Notamacropus eugenii: one gene and its partners. The protein of the gene in region 1 binds, or shares a complex with, the protein of each later gene. Links are inferred from orthologs where the notes say so. Each region holds a gene or a part of one and is shown in the gene's direction. Other genes may lie near its edges.

What was found.
Region 2: the proteins of RAB11A (region 1) and RAB3IP are in contact, whole or in part, in a crystal structure (PDB 4UJ5), measured with the Homo sapiens proteins. The link is inferred for Notamacropus eugenii from reciprocal best matches to the Homo sapiens genes RAB11A and RAB3IP. Residues at the interface, in NP_004654.1 of Homo sapiens: Phe36, Leu38, Glu39, Asp127, Leu128, Arg129, His130, Leu131, Arg132, Ala133, Pro135, Thr136, Leu156; in NP_783322.1 of Homo sapiens: Asn367, Thr368, Leu369, Ser370, Ile371, Glu372, Pro373, Asp412, Arg424, Thr428, Cys431, Asn432, Thr435, Tyr439, Leu444, Val445, Lys446, Gln447, Gln448.
Region 3: the proteins of RAB11A (region 1) and MYO5A are in contact, whole or in part, in a crystal structure (PDB 5JCZ), measured with the Homo sapiens proteins. The link is inferred for Notamacropus eugenii from reciprocal best matches to the Homo sapiens genes RAB11A and MYO5A. Residues at the interface, in NP_004654.1 of Homo sapiens: Arg33, Glu35, Ile44, Gly45, Val46, Glu47, Phe48, Ala49, Thr50, Gln63, Trp65, Gln70, Tyr73, Ala75, Ile76, Ala79, Arg82; in NP_001369276.1 of Homo sapiens: Ile1660, Gln1661, Trp1738, Met1742, Arg1745, Tyr1746, Ser1749, Gln1750, Glu1753, Arg1756, Gln1777, Gln1780, Val1781, Lys1782, Lys1784, Met1795, Glu1818.
Region 4: the proteins of RAB11A (region 1) and RAB11FIP3 are in contact, whole or in part, in a crystal structure (PDB 2HV8), measured with the Homo sapiens proteins. The link is inferred for Notamacropus eugenii from reciprocal best matches to the Homo sapiens genes RAB11A and RAB11FIP3. Residues at the interface, in NP_004654.1 of Homo sapiens: Arg33, Ile44, Gly45, Val46, Glu47, Phe48, Ala49, Thr50, Trp65, Arg72, Arg74, Ala75, Ile76, Ala79, Tyr80, Arg82; in NP_055515.1 of Homo sapiens: Asn731, Phe732, Gln735, Ile738, Asp739, Arg740, Ile742, Val743, Met746, Glu747, Pro750, Ser751, Leu753, Glu754, Val755, Lys756.

What each region holds. Positions count from the first base shown.
Region 1 is NC_092872.1:128,251,811-128,259,758, forward strand, and holds the start of RAB11A (ras-related protein Rab-11A), read left to right. Parts: upstream 1-4,943; 5' UTR 4,944-4,959; intron 4,960-7,948. UniProt on the Homo sapiens protein: The small GTPases Rab are key regulators of intracellular membrane trafficking, from the formation of transport vesicles to their fusion with membranes.
Region 2 is NC_092874.1:247,281,519-247,288,955, forward strand, and holds the start of RAB3IP (rab-3A-interacting protein), read left to right. Parts: upstream 1-4,422; 5' UTR 4,423-4,549; intron 4,550-7,437. UniProt on the Homo sapiens protein: Guanine nucleotide exchange factor (GEF) which may activate RAB8A and RAB8B. Promotes the exchange of GDP to GTP, converting inactive GDP-bound Rab proteins into their active GTP-bound form.
Region 3 is NC_092878.1:381,255-389,177, forward strand, and holds the start of MYO5A (unconventional myosin-Va), read left to right. Parts: upstream 1-4,923; 5' UTR 4,924-5,019; coding exon 5,020-5,046; intron 5,047-7,923. UniProt on the Homo sapiens protein: Processive actin-based motor that can move in large steps approximating the 36-nm pseudo-repeat of the actin filament. Can hydrolyze ATP in the presence of actin, which is essential for its function as a motor protein. Involved in melanosome transport.
Region 4 is NC_092872.1:54,402,594-54,409,703, reverse strand, and holds the start of RAB11FIP3 (rab11 family-interacting protein 3), read left to right. Parts: upstream 1-4,105; coding exon 4,106-5,194; intron 5,195-7,110. UniProt on the Homo sapiens protein: Downstream effector molecule for Rab11 GTPase which is involved in endocytic trafficking, cytokinesis and intracellular ciliogenesis by participating in membrane delivery. Recruited by Rab11 to endosomes where it links Rab11 to dynein motor complex.

The sequences.
Region 1 (7,948 bases):
TGTGATTTGAGCGATATCTCTAAAAGATTCCACAGCCCTCAGATACTGGTTCCACCCTTGACTGGGGCTGCCAGGGGAAAGTCAAGACTGTGTGTGTTGATTCCAGAGATACGAGTCATACTTCACATTTATATAATGTGTTAACATTTATAAAATGCTTCCCTCTTCTATTCTCTATGCAGCTGATGATTTTAATATTATTATACCCATTTCATAAGTAGAGTCTCTGAGATAAAGTGACTTGCCCTTGGTCACACAGCTACTATGGGCCAGATCTGGGATTTCAACTCAAGTGCCCCCTATCTTCAAGGTCCAGTGTTCTTTTCACCATCCCATCTTGTTGCTACCTCAGTGTGAGCCTCCTCTGGTCAGCCAGCAGCAGAAAGATGATGGAGATTGAAGATTGACAGGATTTTGGGGCATAATGAAGGAGAAAATAAAAGGTAGAATTGACATTTTTAAGTGCCTACAGTGTGACAGTCATTGTTCTAAGCACTTCATAAATGTTATCACATTTGATCTTCATGACAGCCCTGTAAGGTAGGTATCATTATCATCCCCATGTTACAGTTAAGAAAACTGAGGAAGACAGAAATTAAGTGACTTGCCCAGTGCCACATAGTAAGTGTCTGAGATTAGATGTGACTTGTCTTCCTCACTCTAGGTCCAGCATCCTAACTCTCCACTGTACCACCTACCTGCCTCTAGAAAGAAGCCAAAGTGCATATTTGCCTGTTTCATAAGATAGGATCGGACCTGTCAATATGAGTCTGATGATAAAACTCTTTCTAAGGTCCAGAGTCATAACTTGAAATTCAAGGAACCAGGGCAAATTCAATTCAGAGGGGAACAAAGACTCTGAGGTGCCTGTTGGGGAGACTGGAATATACACACGTCACTTCCATTGCCACAAAGATTGCTGTTTTCAGGTGTCCCACATATTGTACGCTCCCAAACATGGACGTGATGTAGGCAAACTGTCTTGGGCTGGAGGGAGAAAGAGGGGCTGCTGCTGGTATTCTAGGAATAAGGATGGAGAGGAAAGGGAGTCCTTGGTGACCAGGTACCAGTCACAAAGGCAAAGGGGAAGAAGCATCCCTTTCCCCCTTCTCCTTCCCACAGGTTGGATCCTGTGTTACCAAGTCACCTTTTGCTCAGCATTATGTAAAAACCTTAGAGAAACATAGCCCAATCCAAAATAACATACTCATATAGTGATATTTTGGATTGTTTTTCAATAGGTCTAGTGATATTAATTCCCTTCAGCGTAAGAACTGCAAAAAATTGGGCCCTGAAGAGTGAGCTCTTGTTACTAAGAACTGTACCTAATGCATTTTCCTTCTCTAAGTTTCTCTGTCTCTCTCTTATTCTGTCTTTCTTAGTCTCTGTCTCTCAAACTCTCTCTCAATCTCTCTGTCTCTCTCTCACTCTCTGTCTCTCTCTTTCTTTCTTTGTCTCTGTCTCTTAGTTCCTCTCTCTCAAACCCTGTCTTTTTCTCCCAGTCTCTGTTTCTTATTATCTGTCTCTCTTTCTTTCTCTTTGTCTTGACCTCTTTCAATCCCTCTCACTCAATCTCTCTGTCTCTCACTGTCTTTGTCTCTGCCTCTCTCAATTCCTCTCTCTCTCTCTCTCATGATTTCTCTTTCCTCTTTGCCTTATGGTTCTCTTGAGTCTTGTATTTGAAAACCAAATTTTCTATTCAGCTTTAGTGTTTTCATCAGGAATGCTTGAAAGTCCTCTATTTCATTAAATATCCATTTTTTTCTTTTCTTCAATGAATTTTTGAACATCTTTTCTCCATTTGGCTAATTCTTCTTTTTAAGGTGTTCTTTTCAGTGGATTCTTGTGCCTCTTTTATCATTTGGTCTGTTTTATTTTTAAGGTATTATTTTCTTCAGAGTTTTTTGTGTGTGTTTGTGTCTCTTTACCAAGCTGTTGATTCTTTTTTCATGATTTTCTTGTATCACTCTCATTTCTTTTCCCAATTTTTCCTCTACCTCTCTGATTTTTAAAAAACGTTTTAGAGCTGTTCCAGGAATTCTGCGTGGGGGAAGGTAGAGCTGAGATCAATTCATATTTTTCATTGAGGCTTCAGATGCAGCAGTTTTGACTTTATCATCTTCTGAGTTTGTGTTTTGGTCTTCGCTGTCACCAGAGTAACTTTTTATGGTCAGGTCATTTTGTTGCTGCTGTTTACTCATTTTTCCAACCTATTTATTGACGTTTAACTTTATGCCAAAGTTGGGTTCTGATCCTAGGGTGGAGGGGGCACTGTTTCATGCTTTGGGGTTTTTTTGTGCAGTCATTTTCAGAGCTAGTTCTTGGGGTCTGTAAGTTTTTAGTTCTACCAAGGTGGTATGATCTAAGGAGAGGTGCGTTTACCTAGGCTGTGAGTGACCACAGCACTCTCTTCCAACTTGGAACTATGACCCAACTCCCCCGTAGCAGCAGAAGTGGCTCCTCCTTGCCCTGGGACTACAATCCAGGACTATGACCTGGATTCATGTATGGGCAATGCAACCAAGTCCTGTATACAGTGTCAGCAAGGGTACCCTCATAATCTCCTTCTGGCCAGTTGTCTGGCCCCCTTACCATCTGTGGGCCGAGAGTTCTGGAAGCTGCTGCTGCTTATTCAGTTGCCGCCAAGGACAGCTGCTGACTTGCCAGGGTCATTGCCTGACCTGTACTCCACTCTCACTCCCAAGTGACAGAGATTTTCTGCCAACCTTCTAAATTGTCTTAGGCTGGAAAATTGTTTCACCCCATCCTTTTGTTGATTCTGTGGCTCCAGAATTATTTTTGAGGCATTGGTTTAAAGTTGTTTGGAAGGGAATGTGGGAGAGCTCAGGCAAGTTCATTCCTTTTCTTTGCCTTCTTGGCTCTGCCCCCATTAAAAACATTATTGTTATTATTCCCTTTCTTCTGAGTTCCTTGCTGACTCCAAACCTTTTAGGGTAAAAGACATTGCAGAGACTCAATTGTATCACAAAAATAAAATTTGTGTTTTATTCTGGATCTTCATATCCCAATCAACCCTATACATACAAATATATACATACGTACATATATGTTGTGCCTATGATTGCTTGATTGCAAATTTAAAAGGCATGTGCATGAAGGGCCTGATTTGAGAAGGAAAGTGGAAAAACTGCAGCCACATCAATCAGCCACAAAGCCAATAATCAAGAAGGAAAAATCTTCCCTTTCCTCACTCGGGAGTAACAGCTACTTTTCCTCGCCAATGCCAAATCAACATCAGCCCTGAGACAAAGCACTGTTTTGTTTCATGGCTGGACAATCTTGATTTTCAATAATTACTGGTTGATGACCATGAACAGTACAATTAAAACAATAGTGTTAGGTAACTCCACCAATCTCATTGTACTAATATAGGTGTCTTTCATGCTCTCTGCCTCCTTTGAAGTGAATGACATGTTGGATTTGAGCCAGTCTCCCACAGATATTAACTCAACGCACATTGATTCAGGACTTATATGTGGAAAGCACGGTGTTAAGCCCGAGTCCATCACCAGTCATCCAGACCTATGTCTTGACTCTAAATTCTGATGACCCTGGAGGAGACAGTGAGGCCAATGACTTTGAGCAGCCCTGCTTCGCTTAAATCCAATTCATATACATCACCCTCCTGATGTCATTGGTCCTATTAGGGCAGCTAGGTAGTGCAGTGGATAGAGCACCAGTGCAGGAGTCAGGAGGACCTGAGTTCAAATCTCACCTCAGACACTTGACACTCACTAGCTGTGTGACTTTGGGCAAGTCACTTAACCCCAATTGCCTCATCCTGGGTCATCTCCAGTCATCCTGATGAATATCTGATCATTGGATTCAGATGGCTCTGGAGGAGAAGTGAGGCTGGTGACCTGCACAGCCCTCCCTCACTCAAAACAAACTCAAGTGCAAGTCATGTCATTATTTCTCTGATAGCATGGTCTTCTTCAGCAATGAAGGACGAACACACACACACACACACACACACACACACACACACACACACACATTGGTCCTATTTGAGAATTAAGGACAATCAATAGCAACATTAAGCATTGAGGTAGGTATGAAGATAAAATATGCTGCCATTTCTCTCCTCATCCCCCCCTTCCTCCCTCTGTGCACATGAGGAGCCTTTTATGCAGTTTTTTTCACTTACGTTTCGAGGGGGCTAGATCTTTTTCTTCTCCATTTATTTATTTATTCTATTATTTTTTCCCATTAATTTGGGACAATTAACTCTTTTTTAATGTAGTTTTCCTTTATGTTTTCTAGAAATATAGCTTTGACAAACCAGACTTTGATAAAACCCATTGGTATTCAAATGGAAATACTTGACTGAGACTTTAAAATCCAATCACCCTGTCTCTCACTGACTGGCCAATAACAGGTTCCAGCCCAAGCCTCACTTACTCATTGTTTAGATTTTATGGCTCAGAGGGCCAGCAAAATAACAATTGTTTCTGTTCTGGCCAGAAACTTTGAGAGTGTTCCTCTTCCAGATCAAGTCAAACTAGACCAGGGGTGGGGAACCTGCAACTTCAAGGTCCTTTGACTGAATCCAAACTTCACAGAACAAATCCCCTTAATTAAAGGTTTGTTCTGTAAAACTTAGACTCAGATCACGGGTTCCCCACCCCTGAACTAAACCATCTTTTGCCTCAATTCTCACTGAGCCTTAAATTACTAAGTAGATGTTGCCTCAGAGAAACTGAGACCTGAGAAAGACCTTAGCTTAAAAAGGTCATGGTCTCCGCTGCATCTGGGGGCATCGCCAGTCAACTTGTCTTATGTCTTGCCACTCGACTCTGATGACTGGAGGAGAGAGTGAGGCTGATTTTGCACAGCCCTGCTTCATTTAAATCCAGGTCACTTGCAAGTCAAGATATCACCCTCCTGATGTCATTGAATGAAGGACAAAGGACAACAACAACTGTGTTAAGCATTGAGGTAGGCATTAAAGATGTGAATTCTGTTTTTGTGGAGTTTGTATCCCAAATTGTGGGAAATGACACACATATACAAAACAATAGTATACACTATTATATGTACATAAGAGAAGTACAAAGAGGTCCAAGGAGTGGGTGTGGAGGAGATTGTTAGCAGTCTGGGAATTTCAGCAATAGCTGACTGGATGAAATGGCTTTTAGTTGGGTTTTAAAGGATGCAGAAAAATTCAAGAGAATAAAATAGGGGAGGAGGGCTTTCTAGGACTAGAGAAAAATGTGAACAGGGACAGAAAAGTACGGGGTATTTATGAAGCTCAGTGACTGGTCCTGTTTGGCTGGAGCATAGACCAGCAGTGGAGTGTAGGACAATACAGTGCATAGGCAGCTAGGTGATGCCATAGTGCACAGAGTGCCAGGCATGGAGTCAGGAACACTCCTCTTCCTGAGTTCATATCTGGCCTCAGATACTTACTGTGCAACCCTGGGCAAGTCATTTAACTCTGTTTGCCTCAGTTTCCTCAACTATATAATGAGCCAGAAAAGGAAATGGTAAACCACTCCAATATCTTTGCTAAGAAAACCCTAAATGAGGTCACAGAGTGTCAGACAATTGAAAAACAACTGAACAAAAGGGTAAAGTGTAGGAGAGGGGAGCACTGTGGAGCCCAGAAGATCTGAAAGAGGAATAAGGTAAAACAAAGTTGTAAAGGTAAAAAAGGTAAAGTGTGAAGGGCTTCAAATGCCAAGCAATGAATTTGGAACTTACTCTTTAGGCAATAGAGTGTTGATGAGGGGCTTTTAATCAATAACCAGACCCGTGCTTTGTCTTTTCTCTAGGGATCAATAGCTCCTGAAAGAAAAATACTTTCTAACACTACTCTGGGAACTCGCTCTTTAAGATCAATGGGTGTTATTCTTTCTTCAATGATTTCAGGATCACTCATCTCTTGGGCAGAAATAGCATAAGCTGAAAGGAAACAGCACAGGATAATACAAAAGACATTAGATTTAGAGTCATCGCTTTTGTCATCAAAACCTTTTTCTGCTTCTTATTACCTAGATAATGATATTACCTGAGCAAGTCGTTCCACTTCTTTGAGGCTCAGTTAGTTCACATGGATCATGAAGAAATTGGATGAGATGATCTCCACAGTCCCCTCTTCTATGATCCTTCGCAAGCATTGTTGTTTTTCAGTCATGTCCAACTCTTTGGGACCCCATTTGGGGTTTTCTTTGCAAAGATACTTGAGTGTTTTGACATCTCCTTCTCTATCTCATTTTACAGATGAGGAAACTGAGGCAAACAGAGTTAAGTGACTTGCCCAGGGTCACATAGCTAGTAAGTGTCTGAGGTAGAGCTGAATTTAGATCTTCCCCGATTCTAAGCACAGCAGTGCTCTGTCCTTTGTACCATCTAGTTGCCCCCCTTTTCACAAGTTACCCAACTCTTTCCTTTTAGAGGGCCAAAGGAAACAGAGTGAAGAATCGTACTCATGTACCTAGGGGTTTGACGTACTCTATTAATTTCCTTCTTTTGCATAACGTGTTATAAAAGGTCCTTAAATTATTCCAAGTGAGTCTTATCACCTCAATTTTGATGTCAGCTTCCTGAGAAGAAGAGTTAGTCTTCACCTCGATTCCATCCCTGTCTCCCTTTACTTTGCCAGTGCCAAGTATGAGGGGGCCTTACTAGGTGGATACTTAAGCAATTGATGTTAAGTAATTGACAGACAGGAAATATAACTATAATATTCACTCCCACCGAAGCAAGTTGAGTGGTTTTCCAATGGACAGTCTCATGATCTGCACTATGTACCTTTTAGAGGATGTGAATTCTGGGAGAAAATTGGGCTCATCTTTTGTATCTATAAGGGACTTATTTCAGTGGGTTGGATAGAGACTTCAACAGAGGACTTCTACTTTGACAGAGACCAGGCAAGGCAGGGACTTTAGAATGAATCACTCGAGTTCCTGGGCCTCAGCTATATGGGGAAGTTGCCCCCGTCACTGTGTCTCTTGATTTCCTGTGTTTGCACCCCCATAGAGGACATTACCATGGTAAGATTTTTCCCTCTGGCTTTGCTTTTGTTGAAACCTTGTGTCCTTCCCTATTGAAGAGCTCTTTGACCCTCAAGGATTCTTTGTTTATTCTTATCTGTATCATTTCCCCAATTGGCTGCTTTCTTTGACAAAAAGGTTCAAGATGGACTTTTGTGTAACTAGTATTTGGTGGGAGTAAAACTAGTGAGTATGAGTGAGTGGCTACCCTCCCCCAGTGAAAGCCATCAGGGCTGGCAGCTTTTATTCTAAACCCAGACTAATACCCCCAAACTACTTGAGTAGTAGCAGATATAATTCTAGCATATTATTGTCCATCCTTCATTTTCAAAGAGGATCAAAGATTTGATACCCCTCTCAGAGAGAGAAGAATTCACCTAGACTCAATGATCCTGAATCCTACCTGTTCTTTACCCCACACACCCAACTAGACTGTGGACAGTGCAGGCACAGCCTCCTTTCTTCAGAGGTGAGCCAGATTCCATATATCTACCTATGCCAACTGTAGCCCATATCTATATATTTATATATTAGACATCTCCCCAATATCTATCTTATATAATAAAAATAGGGGAAAAAAATCCAATCTAACTCAACTCTAATCAGAAAATACAAAGTCCAGGCAACACTGTACAGTAGTACCTGCTCTGAAGTTAGTCTGATCTCAAGTTCTATTTCTGATATTTACTACTTGTGTTTCCTTGAATACGTTACTTAACTTTCCTGGACTTCATTTTGTTTAACTGTAAAATGAGAGGGCTGGACTCGATTATCTCCAAAGACCCTTCCTATTATACAATCTTAATAAGTTCCCAGAGCATGACTATAAAACATTTTCCTATAAATGGAAACTCATGGATACACATGGGGAAAAATCCATTAAGGACCACAAGCAAAATGTGTCTTAAGGATAAAACAAATATCTTTGAGAC
Region 2 (7,437 bases), on another chromosome or scaffold:
TTTGGGAGTACTGTTCCAAATTGCTTTCCAGAATCATTCAGTCCACTTTGTATGTCCACCAGAAGTGAATCCCTCCCACAGTCACTCCAATGACCACCATTTTTTTTCATCATTTTTGCCCATCTAATGGGTGTGAGGTACAAAGGCAGTTTGTTTTAATTTTCATACCTCTTACTATCAGTGATTGGAAACATTTTTATCTGATTGTGCATAGTTTGCATTTCTTCTTTTGAAAACTGCTTACTCATATCCTTTGATCATTTATTTTGTTGTTCAATTATTTCAGTCACATCCAACTCTTTGTGACCCCATTTGAGTTTTTCTTAGCAGACATACTGGAGTGGTTTGCCATTTCCTTCTTCAGTTCATTTTGCATATGAGGAAACTGATGCACATTGGATCAAGTGACTTGCCCAGGGTCATACAGCTAGTAAGTATCTGAGATCAGATTTGAACTCAGGAAAATGAGTCTTCCAGACTCTAGGTTCAGCTCTCTATCCACAATGCCACCTTGCTGCCCACTTATCTATTTGGGGAATAGCTTTTCTTCTTTTCTCTATTTGTATTCCTTCTTTCTAGTACTAAAATATCAGTTTGCAGACTCTTCCAAAAAATCATTGTTGCCACATTATAACAAGGAAAGAACAAAACAGCTATAAGAAACTTTAAAAAATCAATCAGAATTAACAGAAAGAACACAACAGAGAAAGAAATGTTATTTTCTAATTCTAATTTCTAATTCAACTCAGTTCAATAAGAATTTATCACCTTATGAGCCAAGTTCTGTGCTAAGAGATAAGAGTTCAATAATCCCTGCTTTCAAGAAGCATACTTTCCACCCCTGACTCAATTTGCAACTTGTTTTGTTGATTCTTAGGTCATTTTTTTCCCCTTCTTCATCTTAAGGCCAGTAGATTGGCATAGAATAGTAAAGAAAATATTGTATTGTTGCTGATTTGAGTTCAAGTCTCAACTTGGGCAAATCACTCAACTTTATTTAAGCCTTTGTTATGGAAAATTATACTTTTACTAATTACAGTGTCCAAAAGTGGAATGAACTACCCTCTCAGCTCCCCAGGCAACCTAAGACTAAGTTGCAGAACAAGGGTCAGTCTGCTTTGGTAGAAGGAATTTCCTTTTCAGGAGATCCTCACACCAATGAAACCTCAGGTTCCATTCCACCCTCCCACCCCCACCCCCAATCATGGGGTTAAGAATTTTAGTATGTTTGTGTATGGAAACTACAAAGTGCAACCATAGTTTAACTAATCAGAGTCTCACAGAACCAAAGGATCTCTGACTTAAGAGTTGATCTAAGACAAACCCACTGAGTCTCTGCTTAATCACCTCTATTTATGGGTGAGTTACTCATGTCAAAGGATGACTATTCTACTTTGGGTCAATTCTAATATGTAGGACAGTTTTCCTTACATGGGGTTGAAATCTGTCTTTTTTTTTTTTTAACTTCTACTTACTGGTCTTAGCTCTGCCCTCTGGGTCCCCAAACCTCCAAATCTTCTTCTTTTTTTATTAGATGACCTTCAAATATTGTCAATCATTCTGTACCTCTTAAGTCTTCTGGCTAAACATTGCTAGGTCCTCAAAATTTTCTATGGTATATGTAGCTGGTTAAAACTCTGCTCTGCTCCCTCACCCATACTCCAAAACATACACACACACACTCTCTCTCTCTCTCTCTCCCTCTTTTTCTCTTTCCCTCTCCCTCTTTTTCTCTTCTCTCTTAAAGGGTGAGGACTTTTAGCATAGCCTCAACCCTAATTACTTCTTTTGTCAGGCACATCACATTGCTAGCTCTTACTGAGTTTGCAGACCACTAAAACCTTGGTGTATTTTTTTCCTATTTCTTAGGCTTGGTTTTTATTTTTTTTTTCTCCCTCCTCCATATTTTGTATTTTGATCTCAAATGCAGGATGCTGTATTTGTTAGTATTAAATTTCAACTTTTACAGATTCAGAGGTGGAAGGGAACTCAGAGGCAAGTTATTCTAACTTACACTTAACCAACAATCCCCTCTGTCACAAAACCCCCACTAACTGGTCATCCTGTTCAAAACAAATGTCATCTGGTTAGTTTGGGGCATTGTCCCAGCTAGATCAGAGGCATCAATTGCTTTGTTCCTAATAGGCACTTAATAAGTGTTCTTGAATAACAACAAAATGAATCATGGTTTCTCACCACCAGATTGCTGGCAATCCAAGAGCAGGGGAGGGATCACTGCCACATAGCATTCTAATGGGCCATGCTGATGGTAGGTGGTTCTAAGTGGCCTGGAGACAGAACTCTCTGCACAGGAAAGTTTACCATTTCCTGTACACCCACCATGCTTTCAGTAATATATATAACATTCATGGGTGAGAATTCTATCACAATGATTTATTTTGGTCTTTGCATCTTCAGTACTCAGAACAGTACCTGGCACACAGTAGGTACTTAATAAATGTTTTTTGATTGTTAGTTTATTGTTTGCTTATTAAGTGTTGTTTGAATTGAATTGCATCACATTTCAAGGTAGTGTGTCATGCATATATATACACATGTGAGTCACATTAGATATATGTGAGCCTAGAGCCAAAGCCTCTTGTCAGATGAAATGGTTGGATTTGTTGGCTTCTGAGGTCCCTTCTGGCTGTGTATGATCTTATATCAATATAATATCCTTAATAAATGCATGAGTCACATAAATTAATTTGAGCCCAGAACCTTCACATCCCTCATGGAATGTACAATGTGGAGGTTGGACTAGCTGGCCTCTGACTAAACAGGGATTGATTTTTTTTCCTGGTGTACTCCTGGTGCTTGGCATAGTGTCTGGCACATAGTATGTCTTTTTAAAAAACTATTTATTTTATTCTGAACTTAAATAAAACAAACATTTCCATAACACAGTAGAATGGGGGAAAAAGGTGATTGTACATGAAACTGCAAATCTATTATGTACAACTTGTTACTCCTTTTAAATATATAATAAAGTTATCATATCACTTTCTTTTCTTTTTCTTCTGTTTGTTGACTTCATTCTTGACTGACTCAGAAACTCCTGGTGGAGGCGGTTGGTGGCACAGCGGATAGAGCACTGGACCTGGAGTCAAGAAAACTCGTGTTCAAATTGGGTCTCAGATACTTATTAGCTCTGTGACCCTGGGCAAGCCACTTAACCTTTGTCTATATCAATTTCCTTAATTGTAAAATGAGATAATAAGAGCACTTACCTCCTAAGTAAGGTTGCTGTGAGAATCAAGTGAGTTATCTGTACAGCACTTGATACATTGTAGTCATGCACTTGATACATTGTAGTCATGCACTGAATATAGCGCTGGGCTTGGAGTCTTCCGGAATTCAAATCTGCCTTTAGAAACTTAGTAGCTGTGTGACTCTGGGCAAGTCACTTAACCCAAATGTGCCTCAGTTTCCTCATCTGTAAAATGATCTGGAGAAGGAAATGGCAAATCACTCAAGTATTTTTGCCAAGAAAACCTGATAGAACAATAACAAATAAATACTTGTTTTCTTCCCTTCTTCCACTAGATCGATGACTCTGTGCACATTACTGTGTATGCTTTGCTCTTAATACGGTGCCTGGCACATAGTAGGAACTTAATAAATGTTGACTGATTGATTGATACTAGTCACGCAAACTAAATGTGAGCTTGGCCAGCTCGGTGACCTCTGGAGTCTCTTCTACTAGATCTGTGAACCTGAGATGGAGCCTTCGGGGACTCACACCCCCATATATGAATTTTTTTTAATGGCTACTTTTATTTTCTTTTTTCCCTCTCGCAATTTCCATTTTTTTTTTCTCTCATTTGGAAGTCTCGGAACAGTCACCTTGTAGTAGTTTAAGGGAGTCAGCCTTCAAGGCAAGAGCCGCTTTTAAAAACAACACAGTTTCCTCCAAGCAGTTCCTGGAAAGGCAGGGATGGGGGTGGGAAGGAATGAATCGACTTTCCCCTTCCACGCGTGTCCCCTCCGACTCCGAGAAGCCCACGCGGCAGGTCCCTTTCCAGCAGCCCCGGTCCTCCAGCTGCCCAGCGCCTTCGGGGGCTTTTTGGGACTCGAACACGCTGGTGACATTGACGAGTCTGGCCCCGAGTCAAGGCAGCTCTGCGCCGACTCGGGACTGTTCCCGGGGAAACCACCCCGGCCCCAGACACCTGCGGCCCAATGAACCTGCAGTGCCCGGGGCGCGCGCAGGGGACGCCTCTGGGCGCTAGGGGGCGCCGCGGCGCGCCGGCCCTTCGGACCGACCCGGCCGTCCTGCCTCTCCACTTTAAGGGGGAAAGGGGAGTCAGGTGCGGGCGGGGTGGGGCGGGGTGGGGAGTTGGGTCCCTCTCGCCGGCTCCGGTCCCCGCGGCGCAGGCGCAGTGTCCGGCTCCTCCGACTGCTCCCCCCAGCGCAGTGCGCCGAGCTGGGCCAGAAGCGGAGCGGCGTCGGCCGGGGCAGCTGCGGATCCGGCTTCCTCCCGTGGTCCCTGCGCCCCGGCGGGCGGGCTCGTGGCGGGGGGGAGCCTCTCCGCGGGGGTTTCGGTCAGGTGAGTGTCAGCTTCAGGGAGGACGGGGGAGGGAGCGGGGAGCGCGAGCCGCAGCACCGCCCCCTCCGCCTCCGCCCGCCCCTCGGAGCGCGGCCGGCTGCGGTGAGGAGGCGCCCGCGGAGGGGTCGGCGCGCGGAGCCGGACCTTGGAGCCCACGGGCCTTCCCCGCGTCGGGCCACGGAGCCCGGGCGCTCGCCCCGCCGCTTCCCCCAGGAGCCCTGCGGCGCCGGGCGGGCTCGGGGAGCGCCTCCCACGGGCCCCGGCCTCGCTCCGCAGGCGGCCGCGGTTACTGATTAACCCCCCGCCAGCCCAGGGCCGCCCACCATGAAGTTCGAGGGCGTCTCCGAAAAAAGGGGGGATCCCGACCTGCCCCCCGGAAACTTGGGGCGTCCCACTCGGGCGACGAGCACTGAGTTAGACCCTGCTGTATACCGGGCGCGGTGCTCGGCGCCTTCCAAACCAATCAGTCCGCATGAGTGATCGATCACCTCCGTGGCCCGCGAGGGTGGTAGCAGCACCTGTTTCTCTGGGGTGCTGGGGGAGCGTCAAGCGGCTGATTTTGGGGGGGGGGGCTGTGATTTCATTGGAATGGAACCTCCCCCACCCCGACTGTACCTGGGAGTTATAGGAAACTGGGATCTTAGCGAGTTCCCCGGAGCCATCGATCGGCGAAAGTGACTTGTCCGGATCCCCCGAGCGAAGCCTTGAACTCAGCTCCCTGCGTCCTGCCCTGGGAAATGACAGGGAAGGGTTAGGACCCCCTTGTGCACCCTTCAGCTCTGGGGCTACGATCTTGCGTGGATGGACAGACGGACAACTCCCTCTGACACTGCTTACTTATACCTATCAATTCAGAGAACTGATTAGCTTCTCGAGAGGTTGGCGATCTGTGTCCGAGGCAGTCTTGAATCGGTCACTCTAGGTCCGAGGCTTGAGCTCAGGTTTACTGGCTTTTTAAAAAAAAGATAGGAATCTTTTATGAATAGGAACCTCTTTTTCTGAGTTTAATTTTTCCTTGGAGTTTTGAGCAACTCTCCATGAAGACCAAAAGCGATAAGTACCCAGAGAATAAAAAAATATGCACAGCACATATTATAGATTTCTTATAAAGTCTATTAAGAATTCACTTTTGAAAACAAAGAGCAAGTTACACACTCGAAAACATTTCCTTCCCTTAAAGCATGAAATCTTTCTGTAGATAGACAAGCTTTCTACCCCACTACTCGGTACTGCCTGGTTTGTGTTAAAGTGCACCTTTTTGGATAAAAGAAATTATTAGCTTATGCACATAAATAAATAACCTTGATAGGGTCTCCATGTTTTTCATAAGGATTTCAGTTTATCAGTCCAGGAACTTTATTTGTGACTTGTTTTTGAGAGTTGTTGTGTTTTGTGTTCTTTGTTTTTTGGCAAGATGAAGTCACTAAGGCTTAGAGGTGCCTCTCCTGAGGTTTCAATAGTCAGATTCCTGGTGGGAATAAGAACAGGGGGGAAAAATAAAGCTTTTCTGAGTGGTGGAAGATGGGTAAAGGGGAGAACCACGGGCATAAACTTTAGCACTGGTATTTCACCCCTGAGCTGACTTGGTGTGATTTTTAAGTGGGAAATTTGTACAATGGCTTACAAGTTTTCACTTTACGTGGAGTGTGATGTATCTGAAGGTTAATGGGGATCTTTCAGTTCCTGGGAGGAAGGATTTGGAGGAAATTTAGCAGTTGTCATTTACATCTAGGCTGTCTGTATTGACTGAATCCTTTTCTGATTGTCACTTAATGCAGAATGGTGACATGATTTTTAGGGAGATAATGGGATGTCCCAAACTCCTGGGTGGCTAAATGCTTGTTTTCTCAAAGAACAGCTTTTGTTTTTCCTTTTTATTTTGTTGCTCTTTTTTATTTTAAATTTGCATTACATTTAGTTTTAATTAAAGTTTGTTTAATTTTAGTTACTTTAGATGATGGTTTATTTACAAATTCGAGGAGAAAATAGCCTGGGTTTGAAGATCAGGCAAAATAAACAATTGATGCTATTAAATAATATTACCAGTTTCATGAAGTCTTCTTGTGATAACATTTGTTATTGTACTGTGTAAGTCAGTGTTGCTTGGACAGCATTTGTTGATACATCTCAGAAATATGGTTTAGTAGTATGGTGTGATGCTAAATGCTTAGTAGAATTTATATTAATCATTGTGGTAATTGTTACTTGAGTATTTGAGTTCCTCTAGAAGAAAAATAATAACTCCTTTTTGTTCTTGCTTTTGATTATGTGACCAAAAAATGAGATATTGACATGTTTCTTTTTTGGAAAAAAACTTTCTGGTGTATATCCGTATGTATGTTTTATTACCTGAATTTTACCACTAAGGTAAAAGAAGTTTCTCATAGCTCTTATGTGATCAATAAATAATTCACATTTTAGTGCCAAATGACTCTTCACATTTTATTAGAATAAACTTAATTTGAACAGATAACTCTGCTTTTTAGAAATCTGTGAATTTCTTATTAGATTATAGCAATAATTTGTGAATCAGTGTCCTAAATTCATATGCTGCCTCTACTTTTTTATGAATCACTATTGATAGATGTGGTTTCAATGCTGAATTGATCATAGGTTTTTAAGATTTAGAGCTGGAAGAGACTTTGGAGATAGTCTAGTTCAAACCTCTTATTTTATAGTAGAAAAAAAGTGAGCCTCAGAGATAGTAGATAGATGCTCAAGGTCATGACAGGTGGTTAAAGAAAGAGAACTATAACTCACACCAGGTCTTTTGAGGATAAGCCCTGTTTTCTTTATACATCTAAACTGTTCTTCCTTTTCCCTGCAACCCTCACACACATTTTTAAAATGGCAAAGTGAATATACTTTGGGTCTGTCCTTTTCATCCT
Region 3 (7,923 bases), on another chromosome or scaffold:
TACACAAAAGGGAGCTGCAAAGCTGAGAGTGGAATGGAAAGGGGGCAGATGGAAAGAGAAAGGATAGTTTGGGGATTTGGGGAAGGCAAGGCAGTTGGGGTTAAGCGACTTGCCCAAGGTCACACAGTTAGGAAGTATCAAATGTCTGAAGCTGGATTTGAACTCAGGCCCTCCTGATTCCAGGGCCTGTGCTCTATTCACTGTTCCACCTAGCTGCCCCAAGGGGATGATTTTGAAGACCAGACACCAGGGAGAGAGACATTACATTGAATCATACTTCCAATCTCACCAATGGATCTCACTCAGATTTTCCATTCAAGAAGGCATCTGGGCTAGTTGGATGTCCCAGGGCCAGGTGGCCCTCGCCTCTGAGGGAAGTTCCAAGATGAGATTAGCATTATTTGGAAGTCCTGGACCTGGAACAGGGTTGGGAGGTTCATTACATTGAATAATATTGCCCACCCCCCTTAGCCTTTGGTGGGGGAGGCGAAGCCCCAATAGTTGAACTGACAATAACTGCTTTATAATAGTTTTGATATATAGGTAATTGAGTGCTCATCATTTACAAATGAAAAGGTATGTAAATATATCTGTCTGAATACCCATGGGTTTATTAAGTAAGGGAGAGGTAACTGATCTAGTTTATGTTTGGTGACTTTAATTCTGATGTCCTACTTGCGATGTCTTTCTTTTTCTTGGACTCATTAAAGGTGCCATGCCCTGGCTACTTCTTAAACAATGAATGGGCTTTACCTCACCCCAAGTGAGTACCTGCAAAGACCTTGACCTAAAGGGCCCAAGGTCTTCCGATTGCATTCTGGGTCATCTCCAGTCATCCTGAGGAATATCTGCTCACTGGATTCAAATGACTCAGATTCTCTGGAGGAGAAGAGAGGCTGGTGACCTGCACAGCCCTCCCTCATTCAAAACAAAATCAAGTGCAAGTCATGTCATCATTTCTCTGATTCTTCGGCAACAAAGGATGGACACAAAACCAACAACAATCCTACTTGTGAACAAATGCAGTGTTCTCTGATTTCCTTCCTTTTTTGTCCTGATCTATCCTTCATCTTCTCTCTTTTTCTTTTTCTTCCCATTTCCATGTCCTTCCTTTTACTCAAAACATTCCCTTAGCATTTGGGGGTATGTATAGGTGAGAAAAGACATTATGCAGTTTGTCGCCCCCCCCCCCCTTTAAAATATCCCATATATCTGTATAATATCTGAAACTTTTTCAAAGCACTTTCTTATGATTTCATTTGATCCCCAAGGCAATCCTAGAAGGTAGGTATGATTTGACAGATCAGGAAAATAATCCACAGAGTAGGTTAAGTAGAGGTCATAAGATATAGAGAAAAAAAAGAAATTGTGAGCCAAAAAACCTGGGTTCCATTTCAAGGTCTTCCACCAGCTAGCTGTGTGAATCTGTGCAAGACAAAACCTTGGTGGAACTTAATTTCTCCATTTATAAAATGCAAGTGTTGGACTTATTGTTCAGTTGTTTCAGTCATGTCCTACTCTTCATGACCCCATTTGGAGTTTTCCTTGCAAAGATACTGGAGTGGTTTGCCATTTCCTTCTCCAGTTTATTTTACAGTTGAGGAAACTGAGGCAAGTAGAGTTAAGTGATTTGTTCAGAGTCAGACAGCTAATAAGCATCTGAGGCCAGATTCGAACTCAGGAAGGTAAGTCTTCCTAACTTCACACTGGGAGCTCTATCTGTTGAGATTTAGGGGTGCTCACAAAATACTGACATGCCAGGACCTGCCTGAATGAATTCTATGGAAGGCTTCTTTCAGCCAAAGAAAAACAAAGTTTATTTAAGACATACCATATTGGATAGACTCTTAAGGAATCTCAGCATTTGTGAGCTTGTATTGATAAGCGGGCTAGGTAGAATCTGAGCTAGACGGAATCTGAGTTGATTGAATCTGAGCATTTTCATGGAGGCAAGATGGATCTTATATACAGAAAGATTGGGGGAGGGATCTAGGGGTGGTCAAGTAGTCTGGGGTAACTGGAGGAGGGATCCAGGGAGGGTCTTGAAGGGAGTGGTCTGTAGACTGGGGTGAGGTTGTTGTTCTTTCTTGAAGAGGACCAAAATGACATCACCATGATAAAGTCAAGTTTCAGTGTGTATGACTGTGGCTGATCAGACCAAGAGTTCGGAATGCTCTACCATAGATTGCGCACAGATAGTCCAAGTGAACATCTGAGGTAGATACTCCAAATTTGTGCATCCTACATTTCCTTTGAGCTATTTCAATTCTGCTTTGCTCATAGAGCACAGCACCTTCTCTTATTTGGGCACACCAAGCCGAGCAGTCCTGTGCCAGTGTCTCCCATGTCACATTATCAATTCCAAAGTTCTTGAGAGAGACCTTGAGAGTATCCTTGTATCGCTTCTTCCGACTACCATGTTAAAAGTCTTCTTGGCAAGCCAACATATTGCATTTGAACAATGTGGCCAGCCCATCGGAGACACTCTCTGAAGTATAGTTTGAATGTTTGGCAGTTTAGTTTGAGTAAGGACCTCAGTGTCTGGTACCTTATCCTGCCAGGTGATCTTCAGAATCTTCCTAAAACAATTCAAATGGAAGCAATTCAGTTTTATGGCATGGGGTAAGTAGAGGTAGGACCCCAGGAACCAAGAGAATGGGAATTTGATAGGATAGAGGGTGGGAAGTAGTGGGAAGTAGCTGCAAGCAATCAGGAGATAACCGACTGTGGAGGGCTGGGCTAGGTTAAGGCCTCAGGCAAACATCAGATTAAGTAAGAAGATTTCTAGGAGAGTTCAGGGAGGCTCCCAGAGCCTATACCATCAGATCATAGAATTTTAGAGGTGAAGAGTCTGTGAAATCATGTAATCTAAACTTCTCATTTTACAATTATAGAGAATGAGGCATAGAGTTGCTAATTGGTGGCAAAACCAAGATTATTTTGAGATCTCCTGAGAAGCAGAGTAATTAATTAGTACATACAGAACAGGTCTTGAGTTAAGGAAGATCTGAGTTCAAATCTCCCCTCTGAAACCTACTGACTGTGAACTTGGGTAAGTCACTTCACCTCTTAGGCAACTCTCTAAGAAGATCAGAAATACAGAAGGTGTTGACTTTAACTTGTAGAGGAAGTTTCTCACCGTATGCTCCATATAGAGTGAAATGTAAGTCTCTTTCCCTATTCCACACATACACTATTACCTCTGCCATCCCCCATTTCCTAAAAATTGTCCTAGTGGCCTAAAGTGCAAGAATAGCAGTTTCTGGGCCGCCATTATGAGTCAGTTGTTCACCTTCTTCCTTATCCTCCGTACACAAGCTGAGTTCCTGAGCTTTCAGTGTTAGCCATGTCCCCACCACACACTCCTTCCTCCCTCCCTCCCTCCCTTCCTTCCTTCCTTCCTTCCTTCCTTCCTTCCTTCCTTCGTTCCTTCCTTCCTTCCTTCGTTCCTTCCTTCCTTCCTTTGTTCCTTCCTTCCTTCCTTTTCTCTTTCTTTTCTCAAAGACCAAACCTTAAATCCATTTCACTCTGGAGCTCATATATTGGACCACAACAGATTCCTGCCCAAGTACCACTTGACGGCTATATTGGAAACCCTTATTAGTAAATATCCATAGTAACTGTTTCTCTTTTGAGGAGAAACCCCGAGGGTCTTCCCCTCCCAGTTTGATTTTTTTTAATTAAAGGGGCCATCCCTTGACTTACTTCTCAAAATGAGAACCTGAAAAGGCTTTAGCCTAAAAGGGTCAGTGTCTCCAGGGTATCCGACTGCATCCTGGGCCATCCCCAGTCGTCCTGATGAATATCTGCCCACTGGACCCGGATGACCCAGGAGGAGAAAGGGAGGCTGGTGACCTTGCACAGCCTTCCTCACTCAAATCAAAGTCAAATCTTGCCACCATCTTCCTGATGTCATGGTCCTCTCTGAAAAGGAAGGACAAACAGAACCGCACACAACAACCTGGGGCACGTGTTTCACCTTCTGGGGCTTGGCTTCTCTGTGCGTCAAATGAATGGGGTGGACGAGACGAAAAACAATCACACCAATTTAAGAATGAGTCAAGAAAAGCGGAGAGTGGTAAAAAGGGGCTTCCAGAGCGGGGGGAAGCGCACCCACTCCTGGAGCGCGCGTGCAGCGCTGCAGACGCCCTGGACAAGTCACCTTACTGCGCTCACCCGCAGCCCCAGCGGAGCAGGACAGAGGCTTCGTCGGATCCCTGCGGTCCGTGACCCTTGGGAGTCACACACAGACACGGAGACAGTTCAGGAGGTGGGCTGCGTGCCCAGGGCACGAGGGGGAGTCCGGCTGAGAACTGGGTCACCCGGTGCCAGCCGCAGTACCCACTGCCAGGGCTCCCTCCACCAGCCTTCAGGAGGTGCCCACTACGTGCCAGGCACGGGCAGGGACCCTGCAGAGGCCCTGCCTGATCTCCGACCCCCGCCCTAGGCGCCCCGCGCAGACCCCAGGCCTGCCATCCCGGGCTGGCTTGCCAAATACAGACAAATACCGCTGGCCCGGGTGTGCCTCGCCCGGTGGAGGGGAGGCGGGCAGGCGCGCGGCACGCGGGCAGGGCAGGGCCGGGCTCCGCCGGGCCGCCTGGCCCCCGAGGATGCTCCGGCCGCGCCCGCAGCCGATGGGCGGCAGCGTGAGCCCAGGAGTTCCTGGAGCGGCGGCGGAGGCAGCGCTGCCTCCTCCCGCTCCCACAATGCACAGGGCGGCGGCGGCGGCGGCGGCGGCAGAAGCGGCGGCGGCAGAAGCGGCGGCGGCAGCAGCAGCAGGAGCAGCAGCAGCAGCAGCCGCGGCCCCAGCGGCCCCAGCATCCCGAGGCGTGCGGACAGCTCCGGGACCTTCGCCCGCCGGGGATGGCCGAGCGCTCGCGGCCCGCCGCCTGAATCCGCGCCCTGCCCCGCGGCCCATGCGGGACCCGGCCTCTGCAGACCCGACAGAAGCGCCGGCGGCCCGGGGGGCGTGCGGGGCATCGGCGGGGGGACGAGGCCCGAGCGGGCGGCGCCGGCGCCATGGCCGCGTCCGAGCTCTACACCAAGGTAACGGCCCGGCCGGGGCAGCATCCCGGGGAGCGGGCGGGGATGGAGGGCGATGACGGAGCCGCCCGGGCGGCCGACCCAGATGCCAGCCTCTGCCGGCGGGAGCGGGATGCCCGTCCGTCCGTCCGTCCGCCCGAGACAGCTGTCACGGCTTGGGCGTTGGGGGGGCACCGGAGGAGCGCCACCCTTCCGGTGCCCGGGCCTCCTCGCCGGAGGGCCCAGAGCATCCCTTTGGCTCTCCCCCCTGGCCTGGCACGCCCTTTGGGGGCACGGTCCGTGGGTCCGCGGAGGGCCTCCGAGAGCGCCTTCCCTCGTGGGTGCGCGGCGTGCGAACCGACAGATCCGCCGCGAGACGCTGCTGGAGGCAGGAGGCCTTTCTCCTGGGGGGGGGGGGAGTGAGGGGCTCGGCCCCCGCCCTGACCCCTTCCTTTCCGCTTGATTGCTTTAGGCTTCTAAAGGATCGTCTGCGTATTGACTGAGGGACCCTTCAAAATGCTTCCAAGCAATGACCTTAGAATGAAGGGTCCTTGGGCAGGCAGGGGCGCCCCAAGAGCGGTTCTCCTGGCGCTGTTTGTTTTGCCTTCTCTGCTGGTTTTTGGTTTGTTGTGTTTTTCAGCAGCTTTTCGCCTTTTGGCTTACCAGTGCTAGACCGGGCTGGATTGGGGCATTAAGTGTTAGTCCCTGCCCGATCCATCCATGTACCAGGGTGATCACTTGTCAGGATATCTGCAGATTCTTGCCCTGGGTTGAACCCTCAAGGGTTTTCCTAACTCTTAAGATTCCAGGATTCCAGGATTCCTGACTGAGGTAGTTATTTCTCCTACTCTTATTAAAGGGGTCTCTTTTGCTACTGAAGTTTGCAGCCTGGGTGTATATCCCCTTAACTCCTACATGTCTGTTTTCATGGCCATTCATTGAGGGCAGATCCTTCTGAGCTCACTGAATGTGTAAGGATGTATTCTTTTCTGTTTTGTAATCTTTCATGTTTCAGAATGTTGCATTACCTTCTTGAAGACTCTTCTAACACCTGGGGGCCTCCTTTGTTCCCACTCTTGCCTGGCTGTGGTTGCTGTTTTTCAACACTGAGGATCTCAGTGCTTTTAAGTTTATTTACAACAGAATCTTTGATGACAAATCTGTGGGTGTAGAGATAGTGAGGCCAGCGTCTAGAAAGGTGAGGTGGAAAGTACTCTCTGTTGAACAGAAAACCTGGATTGTAGGCCTGCTTCTACCATCATTTATCTCTATAACCTTGGCATAGTCAATAGAATCCAATGACTTTGTGATTCCAAGCTTATATTGTTCTTCTTTACTTCACCAAATACTTCCAGGTTCTCTGATTTCATCCATGTGAGTACATCGCTCAGTGAAGAGGATCACAAATGTTCTGTCTTCATGTGTTCTTCTGGTCAAAATAAATGGATCACTTTGTGGCCAGACTCTTCCCTCCTTTAGCTAGGCTGGTCCTCATACATCAGACATTCAGTCTGTTGACTTCTCCCTGACACAGAGCTTTCCAGCCTGGGTCAAACCCACCCATTTATTAATGGCATACCCATTGTCATTTTTCTGCTATGAGAGAACTTTGGTATAAAGCGTTAATAAGGGATATTTCACAAAACTAACGTTACCTTCCCCCTACTGTGTGAATTCAGATTTTAAAAATTCTAGGACTCATTTAAGAATAGCTCTGGCATAAGTAATTCTATCTATACATAGCCTTGGTTACTCAGTGCATCTCCTACAGATGTTCATTACAATTGAAATGGGACTCTTCAACAAGAAATCCACCTTGTTAATAAGGCATTTCAAATAAAGACTTTGGCTGTGTAAATTTCTCTGATCCACCTGTGCCTAGTCATTTATGTGAGAGAAAAATCTTACCAGTATCATTGAAATTTTGAAGGTTTTAATTATTACATCTAGTCTCATGATTTTCAAGGTTAGATTGTAAATTCAAAAGCCTTTTAATATGTACGTTATCATAATCCTAAATTTGAACACCAGCTTTTAGCCTATGTAAACTTAATTAGAAACCTGAAGTCCTCACTGGCTACTTTCTCCTAAATACCTTTGTGTTAAAATAAATTTAACTATTTGGTTGTATTTTGGGAATTGGGCCTTAGCTGGTATTTGAACTTTATGGCTCATATTCACTTCTATTATGTTTTTGACCTTCTTTGGGTCTCTAGTGTTATAAACGGACCACTTTCCTCAACTGCAGGCAGACAGTTGGAAGAGTATTAGTGACAGTGCGTAACTGTGGAAATATTAGGAAGATTTCCAGAAATAAAGGCTTAACGAATAGCAGTTTTGTGAGGGGGGCATCAGCTGGAGGACAAGGCCCAAGCGGGAATTCATCAGAAGTTGGAAATATCAAAGAAATATGGAAATGATGGACAGGGATTACAGGAAAGGAAGCAATATACTATTATAAGAAATGGAGATGATGGTAAGGTAATATGTTAATTTTGGCATTGGACTATTAAAGTTATTTTAATAGAACATTTCTTTAGATTTATGTAGGTCTTAGTAGAGAGGAACCTTTCCTGATAGAGGGAAAACATAAAATGCAGAAAGGGGTAGTTCTAGTTTTGGGGATTTGCAATTTATGCATGGATCAAGTCATATTACAATGAATGGTAGAAACTATACAATTTCTCCTGTTGAGTCAGGATGCTATTTGTTTGGCTAAAACTATTAAGTTTTCTGTTTTGGAAACCTTTTTTCCTACAAAGAAAATAATGATGAGATAAAAATGAAATAAAAAATGATGAAATAAATATCTGGGTTGCTAGTACGCACACACCTAAAACTTCTATCAAAACATTTTATTTGGAAAAAAATGTTTTCCGGTATAAACTATCAAGTTGGAGA
Region 4 (7,110 bases), about 74 Mb from region 1:
TTCAAGGACATTGAGGAGACAGGCTATAGCAAAGGGTGTGTGTGAGGGAGGAGGGGGAGACACAGTCTTTTTCAACTGGTAAAATTAAGAGGGATTGGAAAAAGCTTTCTGTAAAAGTTTTAGTTTTAGTTTAGTCTGCTCAATAAACACAAAAGGAGAGAGCTTTCCCACAATCTTTCAAAAGTAGAATTTCACAGGTTGATTTAAAAAACAAACATTCATATATGCTGTCAGGCCATAAAACCTGTCAGGTTCCCAACTCCAATTCAAATACTTCCTAAGGGCCATTAATGCCCAAGACACCCTACTAGGCAAGGAGATGCTAACACAAAAAGGAAATTATCTGTCATAGGAGCTTAGGTTCTATTGGGAGGGAAGATAAACCTGTAATTAATTCCAGAAGGAAAACCCATCAGACTTCACCCAGCCCCCATCCCATTTACTGGGGTAAGTGTGTGGAAAGGAGGGGAAGAAAATCTGAAAAAGCTTCCAAAAGTAGGTGGAGCATGATCAAGACTTCCTGGCTACCTTCTCCCACGTCTCAATTATTCTACTTCTAAAAGAGAGAATGATTCTTGCCAAAAGGGTAGTAAAGGATTTTCTGCTACTGGTTGCTGGCAAGACTTAGTTAATTTAATTTAGTTTAGAATGCAATAAATTGAAAACCTGATTACAACATGCTACTAAAATGATTCATTTAGAGTGAACTGTTATTTTAGTTTTCTGTTTGAGGTAGATTTTTTTTTTAACTAAGCAGAAAAATGCTTGTTTTTATTGTTATGATTTTAAACTTCAGCACTTGAGTCAGTCAACAAAATAGTTTTAGCAACCAGAGAAGTATTCTTTTGGTACACTGTAGAAGAGATTCTTGTTCAGGTTCAGATTGGATTAGATGCCCTCTGGTCCCTTTCAGTCCCGAGATTCTGAAACAATAGGGCACATTTACACACCAAACCAGCTTTCCACCTTCTACAGAGCTCTTAGGCAAGAAACCTTTCTTTATCTGGCCGGAGGAATTCTAACTATTGTCTCATCCACATTAACACCACCCTTCTATTGAGTAAGGTTGACATAAAACTCATGTGAAAAACTGATCGGCTAAAGTCAGGAGTCTATTTTCAAATTCCTGTTGAAATCAGAAGCAGGTCTTTATCTCCCTTGAACACAATAATTCACTTGTTTCAGGACTTGGCTCTTACAACTTAGAAAATAGTTCTGAGGGTTTTTCTTCTTTTACCTCCTAAAATTACACACACACACACACACACACACACACACTACACACTCTGTTCTGTAGTCCTCCTGTGATTGAAGGTTTGGAGATGAGTCAGTTAATTATCAGGGCTACACACAGAGACAGGATGAAGTAACCTATTCTTTGGCCCATTGTCAACTCTGATACTCTTCTGTGGTAAGATAACAGTTCATAATTATATTCATCATAAATTCTGCCATATGCTAATTTGTCACCCTTCCTGAAGCTGTCACGACCCCTTTTCTCTATTCTCTAACACCTACCTGTTTGCCTCTAAAACGTGAGAGACTGTCAACTGCCATGCAACCCAAACGCTATCTTAAATGTTTTCACAGGTTAATAGGGATTGAAATTCTGCTGGTTAGGGATTTTGTCATTCTTCATGTTCATCCAGGACCAGTACAATACGCTGTGGTTATCCAACTACACTCTTTCATTGTTGTAGTGAAAAGGGCTTTGGAATTGGTGTCAGAAGACCTAGATTGAATTATGAGCTCTGCTGTTTCCTAGCTCTGTGATCTTGGGGCAAGTCATTTACCCTCCGTGCTTTACTTTCAATCGTAAAATGGGGATAATGCTCTCTACCCAGTCTACCCCACAAGGCTGTAGAGAGGATCAAATAAAACCACAAAACAACGGCAGCATCTCAGAGCTGGAAAAGATCCTCCCAGGTTATCTCCAAAGGCTGAACAAATCATTTCTTCAACAACTTTATGTGCGCTTGGCTTGAAGAGCTCTGCAAATGGGAGACACACTACCTCATGAGGCAGCACATTCCATTTTTTAAAACACAGTTCTATTAGGAAGGTTGTCCTTAATTCGCATCAAAATTTACCTGCATAGGACTTAGACTTATTATTACTAGGTCTGACTTTTGGGACTAAGCAGAAGTCGAATCCTTCTATTTAATATTACGTGCCTACTATGTTCCAGGCGCTCGCGCTGGAGTTACAAAAAGAGGCAAAAGACAGTCCTGTCTCTTGTCTGGTGGGAAGAACTCTAGGGTGGGGTTGCAGTCTGGCAGGCTGTCCACTTACTGGTAGATAGACAAATCACTTTGCCCCTTTCTGAGCCTTTCCCCTCATCTGTACAACGGGGAGAATCCCTGTACTACCCGCCCCCCGCTTATTACAATTGTGGGAAAAGCCGTGGTTAAACCAATCTAATAAATCCTGTCCATTCCTCAGGAAAAACAGAACAACCCAGACAAAACACTTCCCCTCCTGCCAGGTCTTTAAGAGACACTGAATCAAGCACCCACTATGCGCAAGGCGCATCCCCAGTTCTTCGTTTCTGGGACAGTTTCTAGCCCCCTGTTGCCTTCCTCCGTGGGCAAGCGCTTTAGGAACTTGTCAAGGGTGAGTGCTCGGACAGCCCGCGGTCAGAAGTCGGATGCATCGCCGCAGGTTCCCGGGAGCCAGACCTTGGCCACTACCGGCTCCCGGGAGGTCGAGCCAAAAGAGCTTCTGTTCCCCAGCCCGGCCCTGGGCGGAGGGGAGAGGGAGGGAGGGATGGAGAGAGAGGAATGCGGGGCGGCTCCCCCGGGGCAAGGGCAGAATGGGGTGTGTCTGTGGTGGGGCCGCCCCGGCCCCCCTCCCCTCCCCTCTAAGCGGGCGCGGACTTCAGAGGTCCTCCCAGTCGGGAGGGAGCCCCTCATTTAAGGCGAGAATCCCGGAGGGATGGCCACTACGAGAGGCAAGAGGACCACGGACGCTCCGGCCGTCCGGGCGGTCCTGGGCATCGAAGCCGCGCCGCGCCGCACACCCTCAGCCACTTTATGGTGAAGGTGGCCTCTCCTTGAGGACTAGGACGGCACCCAGGCTCCCGCGGGGTGTGGGGGAGGAGGCTGGGAACCGGTGCGGTCCCAGATCGCCCCATCCTTCAGCACCACCTCCGCTCACCCCAGCACAAGGCAATCAGGTGACGTCACCGCCTCGGCAGCGGCGGCCCCGCAGTTCTAACTTCCCCCTCGCCCTCCCCCAGAGGGAGGAGAGCCACAGGGCCCACCAGTACGTTCCCGCGGCTTGGCACCTGGAGCAGCCCCATTCCCACACTCCAACCTCCTTTTTCGAGGAGGCGGAGACAAAGAGCCTGGGGCGTGAGGAGGGAGCCAGTTCCAAACTCCCACGTTTCCTCGCAGCACACCCACCCCTGCCGGCGCCCGCCGCAGCGGGGCCTAGTCAGACCGCCGCGCCGCTCTTTTATAGTCATCTCGGAGGGGGCGGGGCCAATCCAGACGCTCATGAACGTGTTGACGCCACGCGGCCGGGAGAAGGGGCGGGGCTAAGGGCTCGAGCTCAGCTGCCTCCCGACTCTTCAGGCTACCCTCCGCCCCCTCAGCTTCGGGGATCGAACCCGAGAACAGAGCGGCCAGGGCGGTGGGCTCTCTCCTTAGGCTCGCGGGCCCCCCCACCGCTCCCCAGCGCGACCCCATCCCTCCCTCCCCTCGTCGTGGGCCTCTTCCCAGCCGCCATGGGGCCCCCCCCGCCGCTCCCGGTGTGTGCGGAGAGATGAGGGGCGTCGGTGGTCAAGATGGATGCGGGGGCCCGACGGCCCCAGCCGCGGCTTCGCCTGGTCCGGGCGCTGGAGGGTCTGGGGGTGCCCGCAGGGCAGCGGCGCCCGCACGGATGCAGTGATGCTCTCGGCGGCCGCCGCCCGTCCTCCTCCTCCTCCTCCTCCTCCTCCTCCCGCGGTGTCTGAGGAGCTCTTTTGTCTGCGGCCCGAGCCGCAGGGAATCACCCGCCGCGCAGCCCCGCCGTCGCGGGCCGCAGCCCGGCCTCGGCCCTGAGGGGTGGGGGCGGGGTGGGGGCTGCTTCGCCGTCGTTGGCCTCCCCGGCCAGTCTCCTTCCCATGAAAATGGAGCCGGATTTATTCGTGACTCTGTCCGCATCGGCCGGGACCACGTCGGACTCCCTGCTGACGTTCGGGGACCTGTTCCCGGAGCAGAAAGGGAAATACTTCCTCATGGACCTGGAGAAAGTGTCGGAGGAATCCCGGGGGCAGGTGCCTGGTCCCGATCTGGTGCTGCTTCCTCCAGAGACCCCCCCGCAGCCCTCGGTGCTTTTAGGGCCTGTTCTGCAGGAAAAGGGGTCTGTGGCTTTCCAGCAAGTTTTGGGGGAGGTGAAGCTCCGCCAGGACTTATTTTCTGAAGGACCCATCAACTATTTGTATCGGTTAGAAAATCCGGACCTCTGTCTTTTGGACCAAGAGACCCATACTCCTGTCGCGGACCCCGACCGGGATTTATCTGTCAGTGACAAGCAGATGTCTTTGCTAGGTGTGGTTAACGATTCGTCTGAAGAGGATTTTAATACAGCTCTTACCTTGGGGCAGGATCCCGAAGTCTCCGACCGGTTAACAGGTTCTGACGAGCAGGAGCAGGAGGACCTCTATGCTCTGGAATTGGGCCCACCTCGGTCACCTCCGCAGGATTTACAATTGAGCATGGAATTTAGGGAGCAGGAATCATGTACGGAAAACCGCCTTGGAGAAAGGGATAACATTCTTCAGGATCAAAGAGATTTTTACTTAGGCATGGACCAGGCTGCTCCCCCGGACACCAAAACCCAGCTCTCAGGACTTGATCCAGTTTTTTCCTGGACTAAAGAGCCAGAGGATTATGTGCCCGGAAGATGCCAGAAAAGTGTTTCGTTAAGTGCGGAGGATTTAAATCATAGTTACCAAATTAGTAATGAAATAAACTTCTTTCCCTCTTTCACTACTTCCACTTTGTGTGATCTGAAATTAGATATAGTTCAGAATAACCTGGGCCAACCCTCTGATTTCAACCAGACTGAACCAATTCCAAATGAGCCTTCCGGGTGTCAGGAAGATGGCCCTCGCCTCAGAGCTGTGTTTGATGCCCTAGACAGAGATGGGGATGGTTTTGTCCGTATAGAAGAGTTTGTTCAATTTGCTACGGTTTATGGTGCAGAACAGGTAATATAATCCAACATTTCTCTGATTTAGGTAATTGTTTGTATGTCCTTGACTATGTGCCTCCCATGTGTTTTTATTTCATCTGAAAATTTATCTTTTTGATTTTCCATCATGAACAAATAATGTCACTAGTATATCTGTTTACATTAAATATTGGGCAATCTTGAAATGTATGGACAAAGATAATAGCGTTGGGAGGGTTTTTTCCCCTTCCACACTGTAGTGTCCTTTATCTCTGATCATATTTCTTTGAATCTTTTTCCCCCTCCCCCCCTTTAAAATTTTGTTTTTGTGTCACTCTCCCACAAATACGGTAAAATATCTTCTAGATCTAGTAAGGATAATTTTATCAACTTTAGCCTAGAGCAATCTTGGACATAAAGTTAGAGGGGCCAACCTTAATCAAAAACCTGAACTTATAGCTGGGTTTTTGGGGGAGGGGGGTTGAGGTAATACATAAGGACCTATAAAATCCTGTAACTGCGAAGGACATATTAGTAGCTTCTAGTTTTGAACAGTTATTTTAAAATGTGTGGTTAGGAATTTTTCTAAATAATGGGGTTTTTTATTTAGAGCCAAGAAAAGTAGAATTATTTTTCCCTACCTCCAATTGATTTTCTGCCTATACTCCTTTGAACTATTTAATTACTAAATGCACAAATTAACAGATGATTAGCGTTGGAAGGAAAGGCTGAGTTTGAACCAGCTACCTCTGGAACCTCAGGCAAACTCCCTCTGCCTGAGCTACCAGGCAGGAAGCTCAAGGGCTCTGTACAGTCAGCAAGCAGCCTTTTGGCTTGGCAGCCACAGCCTGCAGTGATGTTGCTACTGCTGGGTGGGATGCCTCCTCCTGCCTGTCACTCCTTCCTCTTCTCTTCAACTCAGGGCCTCCTCACAGGGCTTCTTTCCAACAAGAGATAATCATGGCATATTGTAGATCCAGAGCTGGAAGGAACCTCAGAGACCATCTAGAGTGACTCCCTTATTTTATAGATGAGGAAACTGAGGCCCAGAGAGTTTAAATTACTTGCCCAATCTCATCTATTCTAACCCTTTCTTTTACAACTAGGGAAACTAAGGCCACATAATTGTTTTTCCCCATGACTAAACTAGTCATCAATAATAATAACATGTATATAGGCTCTTAAGGTTTGCAACGCACTTAGCTCATAGCAGACCTGTGAGGTAGGTAGGTTGTACAAGTGCTATTACCTAATATATAGATGAGGATACTGAGGCACTGAGCAGTAAAGTGATCTGACCATGATCACACAGATAGGAAGTGGCAGATGTGGGATTTGAATGATTCTATCAGAAAAATCTCTTAAGATTTTGATAGTGATAGACGTAATTAAATTTTTAGTTTACCTTAAGGATTCTTCTTATTTTTTAAAAACCTCTCATTAAACATTGTCTGCTTTTCAACATTAGTTGAAAACTACACATTGTTACAAGTTCTTGTCTAAAGTGATTCTTAAGTTACCATCCTTTTCGCAGCTTAAGGCTCATCATTTTCAGATACATATTTGCATTTATGTATATGGCACAAGATCATGGTCCTTATGTGACCTAGTTTATAGTAATATGTTTTATTAGAAGGCTATCTGTACCCACTGTTTTGTAAACTATAGGGTAATGACAAGTTCCTAAATGTGGTTCTGATAGGATTTTATACTTTGGTGGCTTCTTGTATATACATCAGCATTAAATTGGGCATTAAAGTATATTCACAATTTAAGCAGAAATCCTTTTAAAGATAAAATGTAATATCAACTATTCAGAATACTATTTACTTACTGTAATGATGTTTATAAGTCAGCCTTACCTATAAAAACACAATATTTATGATATCTATTGTCTGAAACATACTGTACACACATGACAATATAGCTATCTATCTCATGGTTCTTTGAGCG